2 linked regions of the Neodiprion lecontei genome follow. Each later gene encodes a partner of the first gene's protein in a complex. Links are inferred from orthologs where the notes say so. Each region holds a gene or a part of one and is shown on either strand. Other genes may lie near its edges.

What was found.
Region 2: glutamyl-tRNA(Gln) amidotransferase subunit B, mitochondrial (region 1) and glutamyl-tRNA(Gln) amidotransferase subunit C, mitochondrial share a complex: the UniProt entries of both Drosophila melanogaster proteins name them as parts of the heterotrimeric GatCAB amidotransferase (AdT) complex. The link is inferred for Neodiprion lecontei from reciprocal best matches to the Drosophila melanogaster genes GatB and GatC.

What each region holds. Positions count from the first base shown.
Region 1 is NC_060261.1:6,985,345-6,989,282, forward strand, and holds the start of glutamyl-tRNA(Gln) amidotransferase subunit B, mitochondrial, read left to right. Parts: upstream 1-1,009; 5' UTR 1,010-1,415; coding exon 1,416-1,627; intron 1,628-1,882; coding exon 1,883-2,030; intron 2,031-2,119; coding exon 2,120-2,233; intron 2,234-2,419; coding exon 2,420-2,592; intron 2,593-3,293; coding exon 3,294-3,442; intron 3,443-3,512; coding exon 3,513-3,748; intron 3,749-3,938. Other genes in the region: protein lin-7 homolog C, read left to right, coding at 104-349, 476-640. UniProt on the Drosophila melanogaster protein: Allows the formation of correctly charged Gln-tRNA(Gln) through the transamidation of misacylated Glu-tRNA(Gln) in the mitochondria. The reaction takes place in the presence of glutamine and ATP through an activated gamma-phospho-Glu-tRNA(Gln).
Region 2 is NC_060262.1:16,883,617-16,886,340, reverse strand, and holds glutamyl-tRNA(Gln) amidotransferase subunit C, mitochondrial, read right to left. Parts: upstream 1,381-2,724; 5' UTR 1,006-1,380; coding exon 598-1,005; downstream 1-597. Other genes in the region: DNA polymerase subunit gamma-2, mitochondrial, read right to left, coding at 19-561. UniProt on the Drosophila melanogaster protein: Allows the formation of correctly charged Gln-tRNA(Gln) through the transamidation of misacylated Glu-tRNA(Gln) in the mitochondria. The reaction takes place in the presence of glutamine and ATP through an activated gamma-phospho-Glu-tRNA(Gln).

The sequences.
Region 1 (3,938 bases):
TGCCTGGCATACGCCATTCATGAGTTTTTGAGACTTTGAGTTTATTAGAACTATCCTGTTTAAAACCACTCTAATATAAGAGTATGTGGAATTTTTGGTACAGGGTTCTCAAGATGTGCGTGCTTCCGCCACAGCCAAGGCGACTGTGGCTGCTTTTGCGGCAAGTGAAGGACATGCCCATCCGCGAGTTGTTGAATTACCGAAAACAGAGGAGGGTCTTGGATTCAATGTGATGGGAGGAAAAGAGCAAAATTCACCTGTATATATATCTCGAATTATTCCAGGAGGTGTGGCCGACAGACATGGTGGTTTGAAACGTGGTGACCAGTTACTGTCTGTTAATGGCGTGGTACGTAATGTGAAATTTTTACATTGATGAAATATTAAGATTTAATCATACTCGAACGTTGCCATTCAAGAATTTATACGATGATACAGGATAGTGTAAATATTGTATTTTTCTCATTTCCTCTAGTGTATTGAAGGCGAAAATCATGAGACAGCTGTGGAATCGCTGAAACAAGCCCAAAACTCGGTGAAGTTAGTTGTTCGCTATACTCCTCGTCTTTTGGAGGAAATGGAATTGCGGTTTGATAAACATGCGCACCAAACTGCACGTAGGCGTCAACGTGTGCAGTAGACTGCAATGATTATTTTTATCACTACATATATATAGAATTTATGAATAACTGATATAGATACAATGTAATGTTACTTATATTAATTATTATAGTTTTAAGCGACAAATTAATATCTGGCTTAATTATCTTGTAATTCATCACCTAGAAATAACTTCTGTATGACCATCTCTCGTAAGAACATTATCAGTATTCATTAATGAACCGTTTAAAACCGATCCACAATATAATTAAACCCAATCATAAGTGTACGGGCAAATCCTCTAAACTTTAATTTCTTTTTAAACATATAAGTTTGAAGGAAATTCCAAGAGTGGACTCGTCTTGAAAAACCAAGCACTTTGTAATTGTCTTAAGCAATATTACACGCATCATTACTAAGCTTTCATAATTTCCCATAGTATCCAAATCTCAGAAGTGACATTCAAGCAACGAAAAAATTCATCCGTTTATCCTCAGTCATTGATTCTACGATGTCCTACATGTCTTGTTTGGCTTCCCTAGGGTTCGATTAGTCTGAACAGGGTCCATTGAATTAATTCTCGGATATAAAAATATTATGCTTCTAAACACGCGAAAAGATCTTAACTCTGATATACGTCGATGTAATTTTGCGAGTGGAATCGATTGCACGCGTCTAGGGTCGCTGCGAACAACGTATATTAGCGCTGCACGAAGCGCACGTGTTCAATATAGGTATAGGTCCATCTAGATAGAATTTAGTGGTCGTCAGCTGTGACAATCCGTATCACACCTAATTGTGGGGCGAGGTTATGTATGCGTGTATGTACGTACAATACATACGACACAGCCAACGCGAGCGACGGAGAGCCTGTAAAAATAGTGAAAATTTATTTGAAATATCCAATGAATTACACGAACTGTTGGAAAATTAACCCTTGCATCAAACGATGGCGCGAAAACAAGCCTTATCTCCGGATGTTGAAACATTGTTTTGGTACAGAAGCCAAGTCTCGAGCTGAAACAAAGTAACAACAAGCAAGATTTATAAAATTATTTAAATTCTTTCTACTTAACTGGGGGACATGCGTGTCATTTTTGAAACTTACTTTAAAGTGGTACAAAATCGATTTCATAAGGATTAACAAATACCTCCATAAAAGTGTAGTATCCATGTGAAAAAAAATCAATTTTCTATGGTGTCAATGAACACATCAGGAACGTTTTGAAAAATTTCCATTAGCTCGTTTCGAAATACTCCTTGATGCCAATAAATGTTTTAGGAAAAAATGGCGCAGTGTCGTTGGACTCGAAATTCACGCCCAAATTCAATCGAATTCAAAGTTATTTTCTGGTTCAAGCACCATGTATGGTTCCCCGATAAACAGTAACGTTTCATTCTTTGATTGTGCTACACCGGGAACACTACCTGTAAGGATAATCACTGATGAGTAAAGTTTCGTACTGCATCTGCTTTTTGCAGGTGAATTGCTTTATGAATTTGATATTATGATTTTTAGGTACTGAATAAAAGATGCGTCGAAGCAGGAATACTAACTGCTCTGGCGCTATCCTGCAAAGTAAACGAAGTATCATTGTTTGATAGAAAACATTATTTCTATGCAGATTTGCCAGTAAGTTGACTAGAAAGTAATTCAAATTTTGAACTTTATAAAACCCACTGTTTGAATATGGCGAACTTCATTTTTAAATTTGATGCAATTACTGTATGAGCTGTGGTTGGGCATATTGTCACGACGAGTTAATCTTCTAGACAGGTAGTATTAAATTGCTTGAGGCTAAATGATACATATTTACAGGCAGGATATCAAATAACTCAGCAACGTCAAGCCTTGGCTATAGATGGAGAACTCAATTTCCAAGTATATACACCGGGTATTCATCCACGACCCTACAGCAAAGTTTCTAAAATCAAGCAGCTGCAACTGGAACAAGATAGTGGCAAAAGCTTACACGATTTAATAGCAAAAAGGTGCTGTCAGAGATTCAATACCTATTTGCTGTAACTGTTGCTACAATTAAATTACTCTTAATTATTGTGGATATTTTGTTCGCTGGTAGACCTGTTGCTGAAGTAAAACAATCACTGACTTATATAAATATTCTCGTAATGCGTTCGGATTGTACATCATTTTAATATAGGTAAAACAAACCTCCTAACTCATCTATACAAATTTGGAGAAAAATTGTTTCCTGCTTATGCCAAAAGTATTGTCAAGTATTAATTATGTATGTCTTCACCGATTTATCTGCAATTTTCGCTTTCTCACTATACCATGTACGAAGAGTTTGGAAACCAAGTGCTAGCCATTATTATATATTGATTCCATTTCGTGAAGCGCACGAGTTTAAGCTGTTTCAGATCAATCTGTGTCTTACACAAAGCACTGCAGAGTACATTTCTAATTTTCATGTGTGTGAAATTTCTGTAAAAATTCTAAAAATCTATACCTACGTGAAGTCTTGAATGTCCTTGTTATATTTGCCCTGGCTTAAACAAAACTTGAGAACTCAAAATCGTTACCTTCTGAAGTTTAGCTTTAATTTCGATTATGCCTTACACTTTTGGGTCAAATACTTAAATTCTTTACTTTGTCTCAGACCATTATCAACTTGAAAGATATTAACAGACACTTACGGATTGAATTTTTATTTTATGATCAACAATAACAGAAGTTTGGTCGATCTTAATCGAGCAGGGATACCACTGATGGAATTGGTATTCGAGCCGGACTTATCAGATGGCGAAGAGGCTGCTGCGCTAGTCAAAGAGATCGTACTCATTCTGAAAAGATTGGGGACGTGCTCCTGTAAAATGGAAGGTAAAGTGGTATGAAAAAAAAGATTAACAACAAAGAAGTATGGCCATTACGCATAATGATCTGAATTCAGAGGGCGCCCTTCGAGTTGACGCCAATATCTCTGTGAATCGACCAGGGGAAAAATTGGGCACGCGAACAGAAGTCAAGAACATTGGAAGTATTAGGTCAGTGGCAGCTGCTGTAAAGTTTGAAATTGACAGACAGATTACAGAAATTGAGAATGGTGGTACAATTATTAATGAAACAAGGTCATGGGACACGGAAATTCGCAAAACAGTTCCAATGCGAGATAAAGAAGAAAAGCAGGTATAGAATGCATACTTTGAAAATATGGTATTTCTGTAAGAGTGTGTTGCGCAATTCTATTATAGCGGTTGACAATCTTGTCACATTTAAGTGACATGGCGATTCCGTTTTTTACTGAGAAGTCTTTCAACTTTTTACAAAATCTTCGTTTACTGTTGCAAACAGACTGTCAGAATTCCATTCATATGTG
Region 2 (2,724 bases), on another chromosome or scaffold:
TAAGAATTTACATCGTACCTGCAAATAACATTCCACTTTGCCAAATGATACAACTTCAACACTTAAATCTTGAGATGGCAAATGAGCTTGAATACTCATAACTTCACGATTTTCATTTTTTTCAGAATTTGTCGTTACAAATCGGGATGGATTATTGCTGAACTTGCGCCACCAAGCCTTGCGCTCTCTCTGTTTCCTGTAGAATAAATCTTTGGCCGAAGTTTTCTCACCGAACGTCATTACACTCATTCTTGTGCATAAAGGAGGCAGCGGAAGGTCAAGCATTTTGCTTTGTCTTTGGTCATTTTCAGTTGTTTCTATTGATGCTAGACCGAACGGTAGTCCGTCACATCTCGAGTCCCTGAGATATCGTAGGGTTCTCGAGACTTGAGAAATCTGAGTTGGATAAACGTTGTATTTTTCTGATACAACACAATATTTCCACCAAACGTCTTCGACATTTCGTAGAAGGAATCGTCCAGAAGGGCCATAAATAAATTCTGTTTCCGAAACGGTCAGAAAGTCTGTGCCTAGCAGAGACAATATTTTATTGGCTTTCATCACGCTGCTTCAGTTTGCATATAGAATTTACAGTAGCTAGTATTTGTTGGTAGTGAGATTAACGGGAACGTTGCCCGGTGGAGCTATAAAGTAATCTTCCTCTGTTAAAGCGGCGTTCTTCAACACCTTTTTGGTGTAACCACCATCGAAAACTTGATCGTCTCTAAGTTTAAGTTTTTGATTTTCGAGCACGGTATACATTGGCTGGATGTCGGCGTTGAGTTCTACCAACCACAGTTGCTTAGCAAAAGTAATTGCGGATTCTAGTCTGGCGATACCTTCCGCGCTGCCGAAGTTTACCAAAGATAACCTTTCCAGTTGTTCGATGGACTTATTGTCTACAACCAAAGTGAAGTTGTCGGTATCGTGTGATGATTTAGTTGTAAACTGCCGCAGGTGGAATCTATTCCATCCATTGTAAGTAACACGTCCAAATCTGATCATTAGTGCTTTGAAAATCTAGCAATGACGTGCGTTAGAACTACTGAAATAGAGATATACTGAACCGCTTACTCTCGCTGTTGGGGTAGTATATTCGCTCGCAGAGAGAGATCGCTCAACAGAGGATCCTTGTCTTTTTCTGTACAGTCCCAACCAGAAAGTTGTCCTCGTAATCAAAACGCATACTTGTACACGTGAAATGCGTGAGGATAGTGTTGGGTAAGTCCGTGGTTTTAGGTGTACAGGAACGATGGCTAATAGTTTACAATAGTGCGAATGACTGAATACATTGTACACCGCTTGAAATATTGTGACATTCACATGCCATATGCATTAATGCCGCTGATAGCCAGGTCATGCGTTTTGTTTACAAGGATAACATTCTGGTTGGGACTGTACAGAAAAGGACAAATATTCCCTGTTGAGCTGTCTCTCTCTGCGACCCCCTGTGACGTCGGAACAGTACCTAGTGGAAATCTCCAGATGTTAGACACCGGAAACATTCACACGCAGCTACAGCTAGACTCACATCAGTAGTTTGGGTCACCAATTACCGATTAAGTATTGAAATACACCGGACAACGGGCATTCTGTCGCTCTAGTCGAACGAACAGAAGAGGGAGAAATTGTTGGATAAAAGATTTAATTTGGCTTACCTTTTTGAGAGTATTCTGGATGCGATGGCTTGTAGATTGGTGAGAGGTTTTAGCGGAATAACTGACTTTAATATTTGGATATTTTGACTAACTTGGTTTATTTTATAAGTTTGATATTTAAAAGTCACAAACGCAGAGTTACACAGTGTAAGATCTTAAACTTAGTATGACAAAATGGAGTTGAAGCTCGCTGAACTTTTGGGCAGAGTAACGTTGTATGAAAGTTTTAATGCAAAAGGCTAAAGGATTTTACCGCGAGACTGCACCGGAACAAGATCACGAATCTGGAGGTAGAAACCGAGAGGACGATCGAGTGATCGGTCGCCGTTTTTATAGGGGGCGATCGTTGCGCAGAACGATCCCCCTCTTTAGTTTTTTGGTCACCTTTGCGCACCTCCCTCCTTTTCCTAGGAACTAATTAGGGCACGACATCCTCGTGCATGCACCCCTGTTATCTTAGTCCATTAGCTATTACTATATTGTAGGTTTTTACGTATGGTATAATATATTATGGAGTCTTGTATGGTATAACGCTGCTCGGTGCGGTGGTGTAGGTGCGTGGGCTTTGTTCCGTAGTTCTCCGAACTGGGTGAGCTTTTCGTTGAGGCGCCAGCCCCCTTTCTGGACCCCCTCAGCCACTTAACTTCTTCCTGTCTACCTCTTAATGTTTTTGCTATCTTGCTCGTTACAAAGCCCATATTTCATTTTGGTTACCTGTCGTTTGTTAGTTTTATGGCTGTTTCTATATAGAGTTACATATGTATTATAGTCGACTACTGTCGTTATTAACCTGGAGTACAATGGCGATTGTTTATAAAACATAGTTTGTTATTTGCTTAAGGGGGGGGGTAAGGTATTAAATTTTTTTTTTTTTCAATTTTTTTTTATTTTTCTAATTGATTGCACAATATGTCAAGAATATTGTGTTAAAATTTCAAGTCGATTGAAGCAAAATTGAGGAAGTTATGAGTAAGCGTCCGTTGCTCCGGGATGAGGTTTTATACCTGACCGACAGTTACGCGACGCGCTCACCCGGCCCAATTAAAACCAAACGGGTCTGTTCAGG